Pelodiscus sinensis: one gene and its partners. The protein of the gene in region 1 interacts with the protein of each later gene in a pairwise test. Links are inferred from orthologs where the notes say so. Each region holds a gene or a part of one and is shown in the gene's direction. Other genes may lie near its edges.

The links.
Region 2: the proteins of ATXN1 (region 1) and ANP32A interact in binary tests that used the Homo sapiens proteins (3 or more experiments, as listed by UniProt). The link is inferred for Pelodiscus sinensis from reciprocal best matches to the Homo sapiens genes ATXN1 and ANP32A.
Region 3: the proteins of ATXN1 (region 1) and HIVEP1 interact in binary tests that used the Homo sapiens proteins (3 or more experiments, as listed by UniProt). The link is inferred for Pelodiscus sinensis from reciprocal best matches to the Homo sapiens genes ATXN1 and HIVEP1.

Annotation. Positions count from the first base shown.
Region 1 is NC_134712.1:107,835,964-107,843,545, reverse strand, and holds the start of ATXN1 (ataxin-1), read left to right. Parts: upstream 1-4,566; 5' UTR 4,567-4,723; intron 4,724-6,265; exon of another isoform or gene 6,266-6,587; intron 6,588-6,907; exon of another isoform or gene 6,908-7,154; intron 7,155-7,212; exon of another isoform or gene 7,213-7,361; intron 7,362-7,582. UniProt on the Homo sapiens protein: Chromatin-binding factor that repress Notch signaling in the absence of Notch intracellular domain by acting as a CBF1 corepressor. Binds to the HEY promoter and might assist, along with NCOR2, RBPJ-mediated repression. Binds RNA in vitro.
Region 2 is NC_134724.1:2,514,122-2,522,122, forward strand, and holds the start of ANP32A (acidic leucine-rich nuclear phosphoprotein 32 family member A), read left to right. Parts: upstream 1-5,000; 5' UTR 5,001-5,147; coding exon 5,148-5,201; intron 5,202-7,198; exon of another isoform or gene 7,199-7,213; coding exon of another isoform or gene 7,214-7,216; intron 7,217-7,307; exon of another isoform or gene 7,308-7,407; coding exon of another isoform or gene 7,408-7,425; intron 7,426-7,871; exon of another isoform or gene 7,872-8,001. UniProt on the Homo sapiens protein: Multifunctional protein that is involved in the regulation of many processes including tumor suppression, apoptosis, cell cycle progression or transcription. Promotes apoptosis by favouring the activation of caspase-9/CASP9 and allowing apoptosome formation.
Region 3 is NC_134712.1:109,735,587-109,742,860, reverse strand, and holds the start of HIVEP1 (zinc finger protein 40), read left to right. Parts: upstream 1-4,273; 5' UTR 4,274-4,426; intron 4,427-4,579; exon of another isoform or gene 4,580-4,700; intron 4,701-4,726; exon of another isoform or gene 4,727-5,606; intron 5,607-6,054; exon of another isoform or gene 6,055-6,417; intron 6,418-7,274.

The DNA of each region.
Region 1 (7,582 bases):
TTCAGATGTAGCCTGTTCTGGTCTATAGAAGTTTATATATTGTGCTCATTCCTTTGGTATCTGAACACCTTCTAGTAGTAGTGCATTAAGCAATTTGCCTAACATCTGTCATATATAAACACACACTCACCTACTACTGTGCTTATGTAAGAGAGGCAAGGTCAAGGAAGTGTGCCTGGAACTTGAAGTGGAGGGTGTTGAGGCTTGTGGTGGCCCTTAGGTCTTGGGAGAAATAATTCCAAAGTCTTGGACCAGCTTCTGAGAAATCTCTGTCTTCTGCACAGACAAAGCTCTGTCTGTTGTACTGACTATAATAACTTAAAAAACAACAAATACGCTACTAGCACCTTAAAGACTAACAAAACATGTAGATGGTATCATGCGCTTTTGTGGGCACAACCCACTTCTTCAGATGGCAGGAGTATTAGAAGTCCAGATTCAAGAATAAAGGGAACGGGAGTGGAGGGGGGGAAGAAGGGAGGAGAAGGAGAAAAAAAATTTAAAAAGAGACAGTGAGTAGATGGTTCAAATAGTTACAATAGGCTGATAAGAACAATTAGCACCTCCGTTGTTTCGTTGTTAGGTTAAGTCATAGGATGTGGAAGATAGTGTGCGAGCCAGCTGATGTCCTTATACCATTGGCATAAGAATTAAACTTGTAAATGAAGTTAAGTTCCAATCCTTCCCTGTGTATTTGGCTTGTGGAACTGGCCTGAAATAAAACGGTGACTTGGAGATCCATTAATGAGTGGCCAGGTAGATTAAAGTGTCCTCCAACAGGTTTTTGTGTATTGCCTTTTTGGATATCTGATTTGTGTCCATTAATTCTATTCTTGGATCTGGACTACTAATACTCCTGTCATCTGAAGAAGTGGATTGTGCCCATGAAAGCTCATGATACCATCTACATGTTTTGTTAGTCTTTAAGGTGCTACTAGTGACTAGTCTATTTGTTGTTTTTAAAGTTATTCCTGTTAAAGACCAACTCGGCTACTCCTCTGAAGTACTAACTATAGAAAGTTCCAAAGAGCCAGAGAAGCAAACCCTAAGTCTTCATCCTGGAGTAGTTAACATTCACTTTCTGAAGCAAATGACTCTGCCTCCCTTGAGGTTGAGGTCTGCACTTCTTACTCTATCAAAACTCCCAGCTGAAGTCGATAGGGCATTTTGCCTGAATAAAGATTGAAGGATTAATCCGGCCTTTTGTGCCAGTTGTTTGGAAAGGTCACATTATGTCCCTGTCTCCCAGCTCTTCTGCATTAATTAAGGGTTCTTGTACTTCGTGGTAACTTGGACATGTGCTTTGTGGCAACGTTCCTGGTTGCTGTGGAGGCTGGAAATTCTGCTGCAGCTTTTTTTTTTAATGTAGCTGTGTAATACATCAAATATCAAAATTAACAATGCAATTAGTGCAATAGCTTATTTTAATATTAAATTCAGTTTACTTTAAGCAATCTTCCTATTTTGGGGTTTTTGTATGCTAAAGGTTTTTGTGATGACAGCTTATAACTGCCCTAGAGAATTTCTCAGAATATGATGAAAGAGCAGCAGCTAGGTAAGGAGCTGTTGGAATTACTGCTACCTAGCAGTTTCGATTTGTGGCACTTCCCAAAAGCTGCTTTAAGGTTGTCTGCAGACTTAGGAAGACAACACTGCATCAATTTATGCGTTAGTCATGAGGTCTAGAAATATACTGAGAGATTTAAGAGCTGGAGTCACAATTCTGCAGCAGAGTTTCTCAAGACTGATCTTACCATGAGGCAAACTGAGGCGGCAGCCTCAGGTGTCAAACTGTAGGGAGGCGGGGGGCAACACTAGGAGTATGTCTAGACTACATCCCTCTGTCGACAGAGGGATGTAAATTAGACATGCCAACATTGCAAATGAAGCGGGGATTTAAGTTTCCCGTGCTTCATTTGAATAAAAATGGCCACTGCATTTTGCCGAGTCAACAGTTTGTCGGCAAAAAGCGGCTGTCAAGATGGGGATCGGGTGATAAAGAAAGCCTTTGTCGGCCAATGCTGTAAACCTAATTTTAGGAGGCATAAGGGATTGGCCGACAAAGGCTTTCTTTGTTGCCCGATCCCCGTTTTGACAGATGCTTTTTGCTGACAAATTGCTGAGTTGGCAAAACGCGGTGGCCATTTTTATTCAAATGAAGCATGGGAGATTTAAATCCCCGCTTCATTTGCAATGTTGGCATGTCTAATTTACATCCCTCTGGCGACAGAAGGGTGTAGTCTAGACATACCCTAGGACTCAGAGTGTAGAAAATTGTGTCTGCTGCTGGTGCATATGTATTCTCTGTGCAGTATCATGAGAGGAGTAAAACAGGAAGAAGGCAGAATTGAGAACTTTCAAAGTTTTGGCCCAAGCAAGAGGGCATGGGGCCATCATTTGAGCTCCCCGCCTCAGTTGCCAAAATGTTGTGGGCCGGTCCTGGCGTTTCTGCAGCAAACTGTGCAGCTAAAGAATAGAGGTGTACACCGGACTCACATTCATCTGCTGCAAAGGAGGAGGTTGCTCTGAGTTTGCTTCAGCTTGAATGTGGCTACTTTTTATCTGCGTGTGCCACACCTATTGGCAAGGTGAACATATTAGAATGAGAGATTCCTTTCTGCTGAAGTAACACCCTGAACTAGAGAAATGAAAAAGGTAGCGGGAGCGGGAGAATACAGCACATTCAAAACTGTGTCCAGCTGAAGGGGCTGAAATATCATTAGAGGCAGTGCTTTAAAGTGTGTTTATGGGATGAAGGATTGCAAGGGATTGCAGACCCAGTCAATAAAAAAAATTGTTTTAATCAAGCCAGATCACTGTGGGGGGCATTTTAACCACTGCCCCCCCAAAGCTGCTTCTCCCAGATTATAATATACCTTTCCCCCCCACACTACACTTTTCCAGATCACTTTAAGAATTGACTAATGCTTTCACTTGATTTTCAGTAATCCACAGTCTCTCTCCCTCCCTGCCTTTGATTCAATCAATGAATCTTGCATTAACAGGGTGAGGATGATGTTGCTGTCTGCTCTGCTGCTGCTGTTGCAGATTCACTGCTTTGAGGTGCTGAGTTGCATGTCTGTCCAAATGTCTTGGCCTGTTGCTGTTTCTTTTCCCCAAAGATCTCATTAAACAGAAAATGTCATCAGGTTACATATGGACTCTTAACTAAAGTTTCAGTCATTGTAATAATAAAGGATCCTTATGCCTTGTAAATCTATTTTATATGGTATACACTATTCTATTGCCTATTGATCAAAACCATTGCCTCTTTGAATATTTTTATTATAATCTTTTCAGCTATTATGTTACAAATATACCGCATATTTCTTTGTATAAGGAATTACCTTGCAGACCCATCAACAGAAACTGACAGTTTAGAGTCATGCATTTTTTTACATGTAGCCACTGGTGCGTGTCTACACTAGAGAAGTGCCATATTATAACTTGTCCAGATGTAAGTGAACTGGTGCAAGTTGCAGAGTGTCACCAGTAGTCATCCCATTCTGGGTACAAACACTACTCTGGGACCATGCACAGCACTCCTTACAAGCATTGCATGGCCTGTGGATTATTGCACCTATCCCACAAGGCCCAGCACAGCACCCTGCAGCATATGCATAATGTTCATAGTATACAGGAGAAATTTATACCTGATCACATTTTTGGTTTGTCCCATTGCCCACTTTGAATGGTTTTGTTTTTCATCAGAAACTGCTTGTGCATTGTGAGGGTATGTTGCAACCCTGGCATTGAAACACACTGGTAAGTATGCCTCTGACAAGTAATCTTATGTCCAGATGAATGTTAGTCTTTAAGGTGCCAGAGAATTCCTTGTTGTTTTTTCAGATACAGACCAACACTAGTTAATCTACCTGTCTGATATTGATAACTTTGTTCCTAGTCTCCCTTTGTGCTGATCCAGAGGTGAAGTGTCCAAGGTTGTTCTTCCATCCTAAGCAACATGTCAGTGTGTCACCTTACACATCAGTCACATTTGGCCCAGCTACCCCTCCATCATGATGAAGGAGCAGCTGGGCCAAATCTGAGCAAGTGGCATAGTGACCTGGCACACAGGGTCATGGTGCCTCTCAGGCTTGGCCCAATTACCCCAGCATCATGACTGGAGGGGACAGACAGGCCAAAATCTGTCACTCTAGGCAACTGCCTAGCTTGTTTGTATTTAGAAAGGCATGTGTCTTTATATCCTCAAACACAGAGCTTTATCTCAAGCTGTATCAGCTTATGCCTTTAGTTCTGAAGGTTCCCTGGTTCAATCTCTAGTGTGTCAGCTAAGAGAGACGCTCTCATGCTATGTCCTCATGTGTGCTGATGCTCAGGCACAGAGACATTGTTTCTTTCAGGACCCACTGCCTTCATACCTCCTCCCACCTTGCGTCCTAATGTTCTAGGAGGTAAGGAACTTGATTTTGTCACTTCTTCAAGAATATTTTTAGTTTTGAATTTTGCTATTCTGTTCCTCTTTGTCAACTGAAGTCACAAGTTTCTTTCTCTTCTGTTTTCTTCTGGAAATCATAGACAGGAGTGATCCAGCCCAGGGAGTTAACAGAGAAGACATGCTTTTGGGTTCTTCCTTGCTTCTGAGCATATTATTCTCCCACCCACCGCTTGCGATTTATAGTAATGGGTCTGCTGAGGCCTGTGTCATTTCTTGAGGGGAACAGAACAGTGGAACAAGTGGAGGCCGGAGCCTCATGGAGAGGTAAGTGGTAAATTGCTTTACTTGGGGGAATAGTTGGAAGAGGTTCAGCCTCAGGATAAGTGTAATCTGCATAGTGTGTATTAGGGAGTCCAGAACGTGGTCAACACCTAAAAGTATCTGGCTATACAAAGTCCACATCTGCCTGTGTTCTTGCCGTGTAATAAGGGATCTGAGTAAAAGTCATTTGGGGTTTGATTTAGGTGGTAGGCATCTTTTTCCAAGCAACTCCAATAGGAACTGAGGATTTGTCCCTGGAGGAATAATACTAATTAGGAAAATGACCCCCTCAACTCCTCACTGAGTGGCTGATCTTCAGCAGTCCCTTAAATTAGCACTCTCTGCCACTTCCAAAGGACAGCATGCAGGCATCTCCAGCAGGCTCTCCTTTGATCACTTTCATTATTGTTGACAGAGTGCTATGAGATCCCCATGGACATGAGGCGTTAGAGTAGCACAGGGGTTTTCAAACTTCATTGCACTAGTACACATTCCAGGAACCAAAGCCTGAGCTTGCTTGAGCCCTGCTGGTCTGAGTAGGGGGACCAATGCTACAGTCTGAGCCCAGGGCTGTCCCGGACGAGGAGGGGGGGGGCATGAGCCTGGGGCAATCCCTCCCCCACTGCCCCAAGTGTGGAGCCCAGGGCAACCCCTATGCTGCAGGCTCCACCCTGTCCATTCCACGAGCCCAACCCCTGCTCTACACACTTGTCCCCTCCCGTGAGTGGCAGCAGGAGTCACTCCCCACTCATTCTGGAAGTGGGAGCTAGAGTGGCCCTGCAGCCTGTTCCGCCCCCAGCCTGCTGTGCTTTGCTTCTCTGCGGCAGTGGGCAGCAGAGTGCCCTAGGGCCAGGGCAGTCTGCTTCGTACTGCTGCTGAAAAGCAGAGCACAGTTGGCTGGGACAGTGCAGCCTTGTGGAGCAGAGCAGGCTGCTGGGCTGCTCTGAATCCTGCTGCTGCGATGAGTGCGGGAGAAGGGGGTGACCCATGCTGCCCACCCTGCACAAGGCTCCCCGGTCCCTCCTGTCCATAGGATGGTTGAGGTGGCCGCCATGGGGCTCCTCAAAGCAAAGGGCCTGCCACCACCAATCGTCCATATGGGTCTGCCTGAGTCCCACCATCTCAGGCTGGTGTGTGCATGTGTGCGGGGGGCTGGGGGAGGGAAGACACAGCCCAAAGGGCTTCAGCCTTGGGCAGTGTGGCTTGTGCTTCAGCACTGGCCTCAGGAAGTATAATCTGAGCCCAGGTGACCCATTAAACCAGGGTCACGGTCCACTTAGGGGTCCTGAGCCACAGGCTGCTGAGTATTTTTTGTAATTGTGCTTTTGAAGGCAAACGTTGCCTTTAGAGTGTGTGTGTGTGTGTGGGGGGGGCAGCCTCACCCCCCTGCAATTCCCTCCACACACATCCCCGTCTCCTCTAAACTGGGAAGAAGCCCTGTAAAGGGTTAAGCCTGGTTTGGCCCGGCTCTGTGGTGCGTATGCAATAATCTGTGTGGCTCTCTTGGCCGCCTGCCAAAGTGTTGCCGTGCCTCCTCCTCCTCTTCTCCTCCCTTCCCCCGTCCCTTTTGCATGAAGTAGGATCCTTGAGCTGTTGCAGAGGCAGCCAACTGCTCCATATTTGGCTTCTATTACACATTTACATACTGGAGAGAAGAGGGAGAGAGCGCTGCACCGCAGACATCATTTCTACTACAGGCAGTGGTGGAGACATCCAGGACCTGTGTCACTGCAGGGGGAAGGAGGAGGGAAAAAGCAACCAAACAAACCAACATCCCCCCCCTCGCCTTGTGATCAGCTAGCAAGACTGTGTGTGTGTGTGTGTATGTGGAGTCCCGCTCTGCCCCCATCTCCCCTGACACTTGGCAGTAAGTGGCTTTTTATTCCTTCTCTGCTTTTTTTTTTTTTTTTGCTTCTCTCGTTTCGATTGGAACCCCCCCCCCCCCCGGTGCTTTCCAGCTGGAGAGAAACAGGGGGGGGGAGTGGACTGCACTCGCCACCCCACAGAGGGTGCTTCAGCCTCCCTTACTGCAGCCCGGCCCGACCCCCCAGCTCTGGGAAGCCTGGAGGCCAGAAAATGGCTTGGCGATCCTGGGGGGAGGGGAGGCACATTGGGGGGGGTGGTGGCTGGAATGCATCGCACTCCGTGCATGCAAGCAATGTCCGGGGGGAGGGGGGGAAGGAGGCAGGGGGAAGGAGGGGGTACAGGCACGGAGACAGCCGTAGCCCCTGGGTCTGGGTTGCTTTCAGTCAACCTCCTTCCCCCCACCTCCCCCCCGCGCAACGGGGAGGAGAGCGGACGTGTGTTTGCGCGTTGGGGAGAGGTGGCGTTTTCAGGCTCGCTCGGCTGCTGCCGGGCTCTGGCCGCGGCTGCCCCGGGTGCATTAGCCGGCGCGCAGGCGAGCGAGAGCAGCTGGAGTTTTGCGCGGCGCCGGGTGTGTGCGGGCTCCGAGCGCCGCCGGCCGGCCCGTGCTGCGCCGTGTAGTACGGGCTGGGTCAGGCTGGCTGCCGGAGGGGTGAATGAAGCGGGGAGGCGGGGGAGGAGGCGGCGCTGGGACGGGGAACGCGCTCAGCAGCGGACCCACTACGCTGCACTCACGGCCCAGGCCGGCTGGAGACACCAGCAGCTGGCACTTCCAGCAGTGAGTGAGGAGGGCTAGTGCCGGGGGGGCGGGAAGGTCAGGGGAGGCCTGGGTGTCCCGTTTTCCCCCTTCACACCGTCTGCAGAGCCTCTCCTGGTCTCATCCTCTTCCAGTCCCTGTAAGAGAGATCTGGGGCTGGCTAAAAGCAAAGAGACCATTTAGCTCCTCCAGGAGGGGATTAGCAACAGCCTCTGGTGCTAAAGAATTGATGTGCTTATGGC
Region 2 (8,001 bases), on another chromosome or scaffold:
TACTTTGGTTTATTTTTGTTTTAAAGCTAATAAAAATCTTTTTGTGACCAAACTGCTTGTTAACAGTAGTGGAAGATCTAGCTTTTTAATCTGAAAATGCATGAATAGCTGTAAAAATATGCTCTCTTTCAGGTTTGGGCACTTGTTCTGTGTTGGGAGACACTGTCAAAAATTAAACTATGTGCTCTTCTTTTCAAAACTTATAGAACTCCCTGTGGTAAGAGGTAGGAAAAAAAGGAATTTCATTTATTTCTCACTGAAGTTTTATGTGATCACATTTACACAGCAGTTAATTTTCAATTGATTTTTAAGAGATGGAACTTAATACAAACCTAACAAAACCAAGTTTGTACTTATATGATTTTATCATTTGGGAGTAATAATACCTAGCTTTTACATAACACTTTTCATTATATCTTCTCTCAAACTGCTATGTAAAAGGAAAATATATTTTCAGTCCTTGGAAAAAATATTTATATGGCACAGATAGATCTAGTTAAGGTTCTAAATCCTTTTATTTCCACAAGCAACTTGAGGCTCATAACCTAGTATTCAAAATTCACTGAAGGACTAAACTTTGCACAATGTCTCAGCCTAAGAGACAATTTTGTTCACAATGTTTGAAGGAAATGGATTTGACCTCTTTTAAAGTAAAATTCAAATTATGTATCCTTCTTCATTCAGTATTCTTAAAGTTCTTTACAAACATTAACTTGTTTATGACTTTTCCAGGGTCATATCAAATCATAAGCAGAACAAGAAAAAAATTAGGAGTCCAGGCTTTTACTCTTACATGAATTCTAAAGAGGGGGAGGGGGAAATAATTCTGACCACTTCCAAGCCAATTTTATTTTTAACTATCAATCTGTTTTGCTTTTAAGTTTGTGCTTTCAACATATGGTTTCCTCCAGCCTAAAACCTTCTGATGAAGCATCCCTCTATACCAAGAGCTTCTCAGGCCTACCTAGTTCAATACATATTATTTCAGAGCCTATGAAGCTCAGTAATAAAAACTAGCCTGACATTTGTGTTTGTCCAGAACTCTGAACATTTAAAACTAGCCTAAGGACTGTTATAATGTTCTCAATAAGGCTGCATGCTTCTTGGGGGGGAGAGTGGGGAAGAGAGAAGAGTGCCAGACTGAGAGTCTTGCACACTGATCCCAGTGAAAATGGCCATCCCTGATAAATCCATTCATATACAGAACCCAATGAGTGTCTTTTACTGCGAGCTAAATACCAATGGAACCAATATTTGACAGTTAGCCTTACCAACATGCATTTGGCACCATAGACCTCTCTCACCTCTTAATCTGGCAACAGGATACACCAAAGCATTCTGAAATAAGACTGCAAGGCCTTCTTTGTGACAGTCCTTCATTGTAAGACCACACTACACAAGTGTCTTCACAGGGACCCAGAGATGTCTCAAGAGAACACTGCCCTTTTGGGATCTGATTTACAAATAACACATTCTGTTTCCACGCATGTGGTGTTTCAGCCTCTGACGCTTGTCACAACATGCTTCCTCCAGAACTAGTAGCTTCCATGGCTTGCACAGACAAGTGGTCCCATCCAGTTGTGTGTGTGGGAGTCACTTATCTCACCTATACCTTTGTGTTTAGTCTCAGGCTACGTCTACACTGGCAGGTTCTTGTGCAAGAACAGCCGTTCTTGTGCAAGAATCTGCAGAGCGAACACACTGCCCACCCTCTCTTGCGGAAGATTTACAGTACGGCATGGTAAGAGAGGGCTTCTTGCGCACGAGCTACGCTATTTTTTAACAGGTGTAAGCCCTCTTGCGCAAGAGGGCAGTGTGGATACTCGGCAGGGGTTTCTTGTGCAAGAAAGTCCTATGGCTAAAATGGTCATCAGAGCTTTCTTGCGCAAGCGAGCCTCTACACTGCCATGGGCGCTCTTGTGCAAAAGCACAGCTTGCACATGGCACTGTGGACGTTTTCTTGCGCAAGAAGCCGCCAGTGTAGACATAGCCTCAGGGTATAGCATGGTATGGAGGAAGCTGGGGAAGTAGGGACAAAAGATAAGTGAAAAGGTACAATAAGAAGCAACTTGGGATGTGGCAGCCTCTCTCAAGCTGAGGCAGCAGCTCAGCCGCAGCGTAGGCGCACGCATCCCTTCCAGAGGGGGGAACCACAGGAAAAGGTCCTTCCATGTCTCTCGCAGCCCCAAGACTGTGCTCCTCTGCACAGCTCCCCACCAAGCTACGTGGGGACAGAGAGAACCTGATCACGTCAGGGCTGCATCCCAGACATTCAGTGAGCAGCCCTGCCCCATTCCAACAGGCCTCCATACCAACCACCCACCAATGGCGCTTGGCCTCCACCCACCCCATTTCCCCCCATTCTTCCTCCTGCACCATACACTGTGACCAACAGCCCTCACCTCCCCCAAACCCACAGTCCCCCTCCATGCACCAACCCCTCCCAGGCCACCCTACATCCCTCTGAACCCTCAATCTCCCTCCACGGACCCGACCCCTCCCAGCCCCCCAAACCTCCTCCATGTACCCTGACCCCTCCAACTCCCCCCCACAGCCTCCCTTCATGCACCCAATCCCACTGGGCTCCCCCTCCGATCCCCCAAACCCTCAGAGCCCCTCCATGCACCCCAACCCAACTCCCCCTTCAGCCCTCCAAACCCTCAGCCTTCCTCCGCACACCCGACCCCACCCAGCTCCCCAAATCCTCAGTCCCTCTCTGTGCACCCCTGACCCTGCTGAGCTTCCCCTAAACCCCCCCCAAAACCCTGTCCCCCTCCCATGCACCTGGACCCCACTCAGCTCCGCTAGTCCCCCAAACTCAGCCCCCTTCTGTGCACCCCAGCCCCACCCAGCTCCCCAAAACCTCAGACCCCCTCCGTGCACCCAACTCCACCGAGCTCCCCGTATTCCCCCAAACTCTGTCCCCCTCCGTGAACCCTAACCCCACTCAGCTCCCTTACAGTCCCCCAAACTCTGTCCACCTCCATGCACCCCAGCCCCACCCAGATCCCCTACAGCTCCCGAATACCTCAGACCCCCTCCGTACACCCGACCCCACTGAGCTCTCCCTACAGCCCCGCAAACCATCCGCCTTCATGCACCCCAACCCCACTCATCTCCCCCTACAGCCCTCTAACCCCGTCTGCCTTTGTGCACCCCAACTCCACCCAGCTCCTCTACAGCACCCCAAACCCTGTCCCCTCCATGCATCCCAACCCCACCCTGCTCCCCTACAGCCCTGTACCCTCGGTGCACCCAAAACACAACCAGCTCCCCTACAGTCCCCCAAAACCTCAAACCCCCTCTGTACACCTGACCCCAGAGCTCACCCTACAGCCCCCCCAAACCCTGTCCCCTCTGTGCACCCCAACCCCACCCTTTCCTACAGCCCCCCAAAACCTCAGCCCTCTCCATGCACCCCAACCCCACCCTGCTCCGTCCCCCAAAACCTCAGCCCCCTCCATGCACCCTAACCCCACTGAGCTCCCCCTACAGCCCCCCAAACCTCAACCCCCTCCATGCACCCCAACCCCACCCAGCTCCTCCTACAGCCCCCTCCATGCACCCCAACCCCACCTAGCTCCGCCTACAGCCCCCCAAAACCTCAACCCCCTCCATGCACCCCAACCCCACCCAGCTCCTCCTACAGCCCCCTCCATGCACCACAACCCCACCCAGCTCCCCTACAGCCCCCCAAAACCTCAACCCCACCTAGCTCCACCTACAGCCTCCCAAAACCTCAACCCCCTCCATGCACCCCAATCCCACCCTGCTCCCCTACAGCCCCCATGCACCCCAACCCCCCGAGCCCCCCAAAACCTCAGCCCCCTCCATGCACCCCAACCCCCCAAAACCTCAGCCCCCTCCACGCACCCCAACCCCCCAAAACCTCAGCCCCCTCCACGCACCCCAACCCCCGTGAGCCCCCCACCTCAGTCCCCTCCATGCACCCTAACCCCCCGAGCTCCCCAACCTTAGCCCCCTCCATGCACCCCAACCCCCCGAGCCCCCCCAAAACCTCAGCCCCCTCCATGCACCCCAACCCCCCGAGCCCCCCAAAACCTCAGCCCCCTCCATGCACCCCAACCCCCCCAAAACCTCAGCCCCCTCCATGCACCCCAACCCCCCCAAAACCTCAGCCCCCTCCACGCACCCCAACCCCCCTGAGCCCCCCCCAACCTTAGCCCCCTCCATGCACCCCAACCCCCCCAACCTCAGCCCCCTCCACGCACCCCAACCCCCCGAGCCCCCCCCAACCTCAGCCCCCTCCACGCACCCCAACCCCCCGAGCCCCCCCCAACCTCAGCCCCCTCCACGCACCCCAACCCCCCGAGCCCCCCCCAACCTCAGCCCCCTCCACGCACCCCAACCCCCCGAGCCCCCCCAACCTCAGCCCCCTCCACGCACCCCAACCCCCCGAGCCCCCCAACCTCAGCCCCCCCACGCACCCCAACCCCCCTGAGCCCCCCCAACCTCAGCCCCCCCACGCACCCCAACCCCCCAGAGCCCCCCCCAACCTCAGCCCCCCCCCCACGCACCCCAACCCCCCAGAGCCCGCCCCACCGCCCCGTCCGCGCACCCCCGACCCCACCCTCAGTCCCACGTGCCGCCCTCGGCCCCGCGGCCCCTCCCCCCGGCGGCCCGCGCGCCATTTCTCTCCCCGCCGCCCCTCAGGGCGCCGCGCCCCTCCCCCTCGGGCCCGGCCGCTGCCCCAGGGCGCCGCCCCCCGGCGCGGGGCGAACGTGGCGGGAAAGCGCTGCGCCCCCATCCCACCGCGGAGCCGCCGCCGCTCCTGCCCCATCAGCCACCAGCAGCGACTGAGCCTCCGCTCGCGCTCGGGCTGTCCCCTGGCCGGCTCCGCCGCTCGCCCATTGGCTCCCGCCGCGCTGTGCCCGCCCCATTGGCTCCAGCCGCCAGCTGCCGCGTCGCGGTTGGCCGAGCCCACTGTCAATCGCGGCGGAGGCCCCGGGAGTGCCCGCCTCCGCTGTTATCAGGTTAGTGTTAGCCGCGGTGCTGGGGCTCGGGATTCCAAGCGGAGCTGGTTGAGCTCTCAAAGTCCCTCACCGCGCTGGCTTTGGGGGGGTCTTCAGTGGTGTCAATACAAAAGAGGAGCTGAGCAAAGCGAGAGACTCCTGCTAACCAGGGACATGGACATGAAGAAAAGGATCCACTTAGAGCTGCGGAACAGGACGCCCTCAGATGTAAGCAATGCAAAAAAAAAATCCATCCCACATTTTGGGGGGTGCATTAAAATGATTAGAAAATGTAGGGGTGCAGCTGGAATAGGGAACGCCCGTGCCAGCGGCTGCTCAAGCCGCTGTTGTCCTTGAGGTGCCTACCGGTGTGTGGATGTCTCCGTGCACCTAAATTGGGGTGCCCAAAGGCGCACGCGTTATGGTCTAGGGGAAAACTAAGCTGCTCCCGAGTCTGCTGGTGTGAAATGCATTCAAGGAGCTTGCAAGGCATTAAATGAAAATAAGTTGGTGGCTCTCGCTGGCTGGTTTTGTTGGCAAATATTTGCACGGAGTGTTGGGCAGGGAGGGAGCGTGAGGGAGTTGAAAATGGTTTAGTTTAAAGTGCGTCTTCATTTCTTTGCAGTGATCAGGCAAGAGAGACTGGGGAGCCATATTTGTAACTTTGTAGTCCTCATGAACGCGCCCTTTCTCTCTCTCCCTCTCTCCAGATGCTGAGAAGACAAAAAATAGGATTTTTAAGCAAACCTTCAGTGGTTTTAAAAATCGGAGCCAGCTGACAATATCGCAAGCTTTTAATTTTTAAAAAATGCCCCAATAAATCCACTCTCCACCCTCTCTCCATCCACACACACACAAAAAGGCTGGATGTTTTTTTTTTTCCTTGGGGCTGGACTTAGGTTGTTGTTCAGCGTCTGACTGAATAAACGAGAACAAGAAAGTTTGTCAGGACAAAAATAGACCGTGGCTGGTTGGGCACAAATTATGCAGACAAGAGAAAACCTAGTTACCTCTCCTCCTTTTTCTGTTTGTCTCTTACTGTTACCGCAGCGATAGCAATCGAAAGGCGAGAGGGGTGGGGGTCACCCAACTTGGGCAGACCCCCTAACCTCTTGCCAAATGCACCCAAGGAGAAATTAAGGTTGCTTCTGTGTAGGGGTGGGTGTGGGTGTTCTCTTGCGATGGGAATTTGGTGTTTTGTGCTGCGCAAAGGTGACCGGAGGTCTCTCCTCCTTAATCATCGGTGCATGGGATCGTTGCAAGTGCCTTTTCCTACCTTGGGAAGTTTTAGTGCAATTAACACACAGTAAAAAGCCAGTCTCTGGGGGAAACCCTCCCCTCCAAAACAACCGATCCCACACATGTGGCCATGGATTTTTAGAAGCCAAGACCGAAGAGGGCATTATATAATGGCTTAAATACTAAGTTTATTTGCGGGGAAGGGGAGGTGTTCTCCGGCTCGGTTTCCCTCTTGCAGACCAGACAGCTTTGAAAGGCGCTGGACGTAGATAGGAGTGAATAAACACATACCTTTCCAGAAATCAAAAGTATCCCAGGGGGACAGGGGGAAAACTGCCCCGCACTTTTCCTGTCGCCAGTAAAATGTCTGACGGACAAAGCTGGGCGGATTTACGTAACCTTCGCTTTAAACTTTAAAAAGTATTGAGGGGGGAGGGAGGGAGTGTGTATGGAGCTGGCTAGTGGGTCAGACACCTTCCCTTGTATCTGAGCAGCAACACCTATTAATACAAAGTGCTGTGTGGTGTGTGTGTGTGTGTGCGCGTGTGTGTGCGTGCAGGTTGCTGCATGAGCGGGGCTGCTCGTGCTCCCTTGTGTTGCACCGCGTGTATGTGCCAGCTAGCTCAGTACAAGAGGGCTTGTTTGTGAGAGCCCTGCAAAGAGGACAAAGAGCAAACGGAGGAGCTTCCTAATGAGGGGCCTCTGTCCCTACATCTCTGCCGGGGAGCTGAAATATTCCTCCCTCCCTCCACCCCATGAAATCATTCCCAACTTTGTATCCTCGCGTTGGCAGCGCCACACTAAACCTGAAGTAGGACAAGACGCCATGTTTTTTCCATCGAGCTGCAAAGGAGAAAAAGGCTGGGGTATGAAACCAAGGCGATTTATGCTTTAGGATCCGTGCGAACACCCCAAAGGAGGGAATTCTTAAAGCCACCAGCGGTGCAGTTAGCAAACATTCCTTGTGAAATTCTGGAGGGACTTGAGGGGGGTTGCTTTAAATGGTAATGCGTGTTACAACCTAAAATGAGAAGCTTTCATAGGTCTGCAGTTTCCTATTAATGATTATTCGGTGGGGAGGAGAAATGCTTCGTGTTTTGTTCGAGGGCAGGTCGAAGAGGTGGAATGGTGGCGGTTAGGGCGGCTGACGGAAGCAATGAGGGCGCACGGAGGGCTCGCTCTGTGTGTGTGTAACATGACTGCCAGCATTCAGGTCTGCCATTTTGTCACTGTTTTGTCACAGAGGGGGGAGGGGAGAAGGTTGTTTTTAAAGAAGATAACAATCTTATAGTCCGATTCCCAGCCAGGCACGACTAACGGCGTGTTCGAACCCGAATCCTGCTGCAGTGGGGCTGATGTGGCCGGGGAGGGGTCTTCAGGGAGGGAGGCGGGCATGTATGGGTGCGTGTCTGTGCAAAGGGGAGTGCTCGCTTGTTCCCCTGCACAAACGGCTCTTGGGGAGCGCGGACTCGGGAGCCTGTATCTTTAAATGGAACCTTGGCGTCTCGAAATGGAACGTTGTGTTCGCGAGCGTTCCGCGGGGCGGTGACGAACGTTCGGGGGAGACTGGAAGGCCGGTCGCACGCTCGCCAGGAGCGCCTGGCTGCATCGCCCCGTTCCGCTCGGCGCCGGCGCGGGCTGGGCCTGGCGCCCAGCCTGGGCTTGTGCCTTGTCCCGTTTCCCACCCGAGCTGCTGCGCGGGAGCTGGAAGAAGCGAGCAGACCTAGCAGGTCGCATGCACAGTGGGTTCCGGATGGCGATACACTCACTGCCGGCTGCAGCCGCGATA
Region 3 (7,274 bases), about 1.9 Mb from region 1:
AAAGAGCCCCAATCGTCATTTTCGCGATCGGGGCTTTTTTCCGGAAAAGACTACTGGGCTGTCTACACTGGCTCTTTTCCGGAACAGTGTTCCAGAATAAGGACTTATGCCCGAGCGGGAGCAGCATAGCTTTTCCAGAATAGCGGCTGATTTTGTACGGTAGAGCATTGTTGCTTTTCCGGAAATTCAAGGGCCAGTGTAGACAGCTCGCAGCTTATTCCGGAAAAGCAGCTGATTTTCCAGAATAAGTGGCCCAGTGTAGACACAGCCAGGGTGTGTCTAGACTACATCCCTATGTCAGCAGAGGGATGTAAATGAAGCACTTTGAAAGTGAAAATGAAGCGGGGATTTAAATATCCCGTGCTTCATTTGCATAATTACATAATGGCGCTCTTTCGAAAAAGGGCTCTTTCGAAATTGAAACCACAGTCTAGATATGATTTTCAAAAATGGGGCGCTGTTTCGAAAGATCCTGTAAACCTCAGATTTACAGCGCCCCGTTTTTGAAAGAACCGCGTCTTGACTGAGGTTTCAATTTCGAAATAGCGCTTTTTCAAAAGAGCGCCATTACGTGATTATGCAAATGAAGCATGGGATATTTAAATCTCTGCTTCATTTGCACTTTCGAAGTGCTTCATTTACATCCCTCTGCCGACAGAGGGCTGTAGTCTAGACGTAGCCAAAATGAGGTTTACAGGATCTTTCGAAAAAGTGCTCTGCTTTCGAAAGAACCGTGTCTAGACTGCGGTTTCAATTTCGAAATAGCACTTTTTTCCAAAAGAGCGCCATTACATAATTATACAAATGAAGCATGGGATATTTAAATCCCTGCTTCATTTACACTTTCAAAGTGCTTCATTTACATCCCTCTGCCAACAGAGGGATGTAGTCTAGACATGGCCTTACTGATTTAAGATATAATGGCATATCAGTTAATTATATTCTGGTTTATTCTATGCCTGCCTAGTGCATGTCTTTACTACAGACTTAAATCAAACTATGTTAGGTCAATTTACAGCCAATGCAGTAATTACTGTGGTGGCTGATGTCCACACTGACCTCCTTCTGTCAGTGGTGCACGTCCTGACCAGCAGCACTTCCACCAACTGAAGAGACTCTCAGCTCCATGCAGCTCTGCACAAGGAGCCCAGCTGCCTCCCTGGATTCCTAACCCCCCTGATTTCTGCTGGGAGTAAGGGGGCAGTCACACAAGCTTCTGGGCTTCTTGCCTCCGTGAATGGGGAGCTGGGTGGGTGCAGCCAACTGAGAGCCAGGGATAGCCAGGTTCTAGCTGCCTGCCTTCCTTATCAATTTCACATTCCTAACATGAAATTAACAAGGCACTTAATATCTGATGTAAGTAAAGCAGTGTCTACAGCGACACTGTGTCAACCTCACTCCACTGTCATAAGCAGTACACTTCTTGTAGAGTTGGAGTTATTACATAGGCATGGTAGGGCACTTACATCGGGCAGGACAAGGCTGACTGAGTTAGATTAATGGAATCTGCCTTAAATCGACTTAATTGTGTAGTCTAGATCAGGCCTAAGCCCCCCACTATCCAAGGAGTCTGTGCTTTTATATGTTTTGAGTGACTAAAGACTGTGAGAGAAATACAAATCTAAGCTTGATTAATGCATATGCCATGTTGCAGTGAACGATATAAGCAATATTAATATTTGCTGCCTAAGGTAGTTAAATTTGCCACAACACTCACCATATTTAATAAGAACTGCAGTAAAGTAAAATACTGTGGGCATGGTAAATGCTGATTTATTTAAAGTTTTATGTTATATCCTGGCCTCTCCCGTTTCTAAACTTTCCACATACTTTTCTGTGGTAGAATCAAGGTGCGTCTGTTTTAGGACTAGGACTTGTAGGTTCTAATGCAATATTAATAATAACAATTAGCAATTATAAAAGTACCTTTATACAGAATCACCTATTGTCAAATATGAATGTTTTATGCATAAATCTAGCGGGAAGTTATCAAAATTTTAAAAATTAGTCCCTTTTGAAAATGCAATAGAGAGTCAAAAGTAAAATATGCTTTAGTAGCCCTTCTCTCAACTCACCCATTTGAAGGGTGACTCTTATGTATGGGACTAATTTTAGATGCAGTTTTTAAAGTATTTTAGTTTTGTGAGAAGAAGTTTGCAGTGTGTTTCAGTGAGAGATTTAACATTTCACTGATTATTTTTTTGATATCTCCCTCATTCACAGGGCCAGAATAAGTTCCCAGATACTTGTTACTAAGAATATTCCATATCACTTTTCATCCTTATATTTCCAAGTGTTTCACATAAGTGGATATGCATATTTTTCTACTTTACTGTGGAAAAATCAGAGCAGAAAGAGAGGAAGTGACTTGCTCAAGGTCACACAGCATATCAACAATCAGAACCCAGATTTCCTAATTTTTTTCCAGCCATGTTACTATTCCCTGTTAGCTAGATGACTAAATCTAGTAGCCAGAGACAGATGTGAAAGGATCTCAACAGCAAGGGTCTAGAGGCAAATCCTTGCTAAGAAGCTCATTTAACTCCCTATCTCCTGGAAGTGTACTAGGATTCCTGTCATGGTGCTCTCCCTGAACACTGCTTGAAGAATTCATTTTAAAATTAGGATGTAGGTACCTAGTCCCACTGCAGCTTCTGAGTTCCAGAAGCAGTGATGGGCTAGAAGGTGGGATGTATGCTATTTTCATCTTCTCCTGTTTTGTGAATAGCTCCATTGCTTCTGCTGCTAGTGATTCAACAATCAGCAATCTGAAATTGATGCTGCTCTTGTAAGGCTTATGTCTATTTCCTGGATTTAAAGTAATAGTCTCCAATTTCATTATGCTGCTTGGGAAACCTGTGAGCATAGTAGAGACACTAGGAGCTGTCTGTCTACAGATTCTGGAATGTAGCACTTCATTGGTTCACATTTGAAAAATTACACTTGTGCCCAAAGGGTTAAAACAGTTTTTTCATAAACGTTAAAATTTCAGATACTGATGAGTTAGTGCCGGCTGTTACCAGGAAATCTCTGTATTCACTGTGGGTGAATGGGCTTTCCAAGAGCATCTCATTCAGACGACATAGGTTGACAGCACTGTTTCACCCACAGGCATAGGACTGGTCTACTCTGGGAACTTATATTGGCATCGCAATATATTTCAGGATTTCTCAACCCTGGGAAATGTAACTATACCAGCCTAGCCTAGTGCAGCCAGAATTAAGTTGCAGAAGAATTATGCCTCAGGAAGATGGATTTTTTTACACCCTTGAGATGAGGAAGGGGTTTGCCTGTCAGTGCAGGTAATGTCTACAGTGAAGCGCGACAGCATGTAGCTGCACAGCTCTTTAAGTATAAGAATAACTATACCTAAGTGATAGCATAACCTATGTGATGATCTTGCAAATATACTATAACCCCAAAACATCCAATGCCTTTGGGAAAAATGGGCATTGTATGTCACATATTACTGCCAGGGATGTGATATTATTATTTGTATTCCATTAGCACTTGAGAGTCCTAGAGAGGATGCCTGGTCTGATGGTTGGGGTGCTAGTCTGAGACTCATGAGACCTGGATTTAACTCCCAGGGTGTTGTTGGATAAGTCACTCTACCTCAGTTCTCCATTTGTAAAATGAGGATAATAATACTTTCCAGCTTTACACGGATGCTGTGAGGACAAATACTCTAAAAATGGCGAGGTGCTCATAAACTATGCTAATAGAGGCTATGTAAGTACCACAGAGGGAGAGCCCAGTCCTAGACCAAGATCTTGTGTTGATGACACTGTATAGATTTATAACAAAAAGTCAGCTCTTGCACTGGAAGGTTTACAGTCTAGGACAAGACACAACAGATGGATATAAATAGCTGAAGAAACACAAGTAAACAATGTAAGACTTAATGGGAGGTCATTTAATTAGATTTGTTCTGTTAAAAATGTGCTGGATCCTGATGTGATATAAAGTAAAATCTCATGTAAAATTCCCCTGGCAACAGAAACTTAAAAGGTCCAGTGCTTAGCATAATGTATTTTAAATTTTAAAAAGCTCTCTGGTTTTAAACAAAAGGGAAGGGTTTTGTTTCGGTTTGTTTTTAACCGGCGATGGCAACCCCCCTCCTTTTGCTTCCCTGTAACAAGAGAAGGAGGAATCCCTCACCGCGGATCTTCCCCATTCAAAATGACCCACAGGCAAAATCTATATAAACAGCTGATGGAGTAAACCAATCAGCGCAGTACAGCTAGAACAGCAAAACCCTAGGCAAGGGCCAAAAAAGGGGAGCAGCAGTAGAGAGCACTAGGCACCTCCTCCTTGTATTTCCTCTCACGCCCACATCCAGCAGTGGAGGTTTTTTACTTTCGGCTTTTGTCTCTTTATTTTAAAAGTTAACTGGGAAAGAATGTGCAAAGAGTGCGGGCATTGGGTGAGTTTCTTCTTTTAATCTCGTTGGGGGGAAATTGTATGGGAAGGGTTGGATGGTGGGGTGTCCTCGGTATGGGGAGGTTTTATCGGTATGTTGCAATAGGAAGGAGGAGGGGATTAGGCGTAGCTGCTAGGGAACGGGAAACCCCAGAGAGAGAGAGAGAGGAGAAAGAGGACGCAGCATGTGTGACCTGCCAGTGGCAGCAAGGAGGAACCTCCGGGATCTCCGCGTCAGCAGCAGCCCCAGTTATGTGCATACATGGGAGTGTGTGCGCGTATGTTTTGTGTGTCTTCTCTGTGCTGGCGGGATGGGCCGCTATAGGGGGGAGTGCGACACGCACCTGCGTGCCCACGGCATTGCATTGTTGGGGTGGGAGAGAGAATGCAAATGGATTTGTAATAATTTTTCTTTAGGCTCTTAATCAACTCCTGTCTGGGCATGTCTCCTCCGAGGAAAAACAGAGTTTTCTTTAATAAGACTTTAACAGTTTGTGGCTGCTGCTGGGATTAATCGTTGGGATTAACTGCTTCATGACTGAAAATGTCTCCAGTTCTGCCCACTGACCAAATAAGATGTCCGGTCCCACACACCGATACAGGTTAGCCTGGTGCCGCACCATCTCACGTGTTCTAACATAGTGTGGCATGGTGCAACATCAGCTCAGGCTCTCCCCAAAGTCTGACAACACTGTTGTGAAGTCTGGCACAAATAAATTGATGTGTGGGACACAAAGCTGCATGGCGCCGCTGTCGTGCTGGTCAGTCTGCTTGTGATGTTAATATGACTTTAGCTGACATGGCACTTTACAGCCGGACCCAGTACTGTGCAGACTACCCTGGGGCACAGGCTAACGCGACATCTGCCCTGGTGTGACAGGGCATGGCCAGGCCCAGCGTGGCATTGTGCCATCTGGCACGAAGTCACTTTTGCTGAGTGGGCATGGGGGAGGGCACTGGGGAGAGGGAATTCTTACTGGCTGGGGGATTTTATGTGATTAAGTTTTTTTCAACGTGAGCCAGGGCGCGTGTCTAGTTTCACTTCTGTCCCTTCCCACCAGCCTGTGAGGAAACCCCCTCAGTGACCCCTCCCCCCTCCCATGCAGGCAGGGAAGAAGGCGGGGCCGGGAGACCCGGTGACGTCACTGGACCGGGCCGCTTCCTGCAATAGAAAGTGAGAGAAGGTAAAACACCCCCCCTCCCCCTCCCCCGCCCCAGCCCCGGAGCCGCCGCCACCGCCGCGCGCGCCTCCCCTCGCGCTGCCCAGCTGCTGCGCCCCGTGAGTGACCGGCCGGGCAGGGAGCCCCCAATGGCTGCGCCGCCCGCGGCCCGGCCCAGTTGGCCTGAACCGCCCCCCCCACCCCATGCCCAGCCGGGCCCGCCCGCTGCCCCCTGCCTGCAGCCCGCCCCAAGGGCGCCTCCCCCCCCGCAGCCCGGCCCTTGCCCGGGTCACGGGCGGCTCTGCCCAGCCCGCCCTGTGCATGGAGCATCACCCGCTGCTGCCTGCGCGCCGGGGCGGGACTAGTGTCAGACAGACCGAGCGAGCGACAGACATTGCCCGGGGGGAGGGGGCGCCCTGCTGGGGGCTGGGTGGCTGCGGGGGGCGCCGTGCGGGCGGGGCGCGGCTGCTGGAGCGGTGGGTGTCTGGACGGGCGGGAGTCTCGTCTGGGGGAAGGGGTGTGTGTTGGGGGGCTGCCCGGATGCTGGGGCGGTGCATGTGAGCGGGGTAGGGCGGGGGTGGGGGGCGTTTTGCACGGCGGCTGAGGCGGGGGAGGAGGCCAGCCCCGGGTTGTGTTTGTCCGGGGTTGTCAAGTGAAGGAGGCTCCCAGGCGCCGTGTTTCCTAGCGGCTGCCGCCGCCATCAGCAGGGCCGACTCCAGCCCCCTCACCCTCCCCCCCGCCCGGAGCAGCCTGGCCGCGGGGGACCCGGGTGTAGCCCCAGAGCGGGTCCCGGGGAGCCGCCCCCTGAGCCGCGGCGGCGCCCAAGCACGCCACGGTAGGGAGATGGGGGCGGGCGGGAGGGAGGGACCAGTAGGCCTGGCTCCAGCTGCCGTCGTCCCCCACCCCCATTTCACTGCCGGGGGGCTGCGGTTTGTGTGAAACCCGCCTTTACTCCTGTTCCAGCCGCGCGTGTCTGTTTCCTAGCCGGGGAGCGTGAGGCGCCCCCAGGCAGGCTGGGCTGTGGCAAGGAGTAGGCAGGCATCCCGGTGATTTCCCCCTCCCCCAGCCCTTCCCATTTGTCCCCCACCCCATGCATCTCTTCCCCGGGTCAGTCCCGGTTTGCAGTCCCTCCCCCCCCAGCTTGTGGATGGACGTGTGCAGCGCTTTGTTCGGTGCGGCCGTGTTGCAGAGGGGTTTTCCCAGGCTCCTCCCTCTTTATTCATTCATGTTTTTCCCCTTTGCAACTTGTGTTCGCACTCTACCATTTAGTGCCTCTCTCTGTCTGTGGGTTTTTAAATCTTTCTTCTATGTTTTTAAATCCTAGCCTCTAATCTGCTTTGCTGGTGATCACAATATAGGCTTGTTTTAGGGCTGATATTTCAAACTGAGGAGGGAAAACGAAATTTCAAATGTTTTTAAACGATTTTTACCACTTCCATCTGATTTCCCATCCCCAGCAAAATAAAAATCTTATTATCTTATTGCTGGTGGGCAACTGAAGTATGCTGTTTTAATAAATATGTAACGTTATTTGTGTTGCTACTAAACACTAGGACATCTAAAAGCATATATTCAAAGAGGTGTCCCAATTTTGAAACGTACTTGCATGCTGAACCTCTAACACTTACGGGAAATGTATTTTTTTTACACATTTAAACTCCAGTGAGAGCTTAATTATTATCATCCCATGTT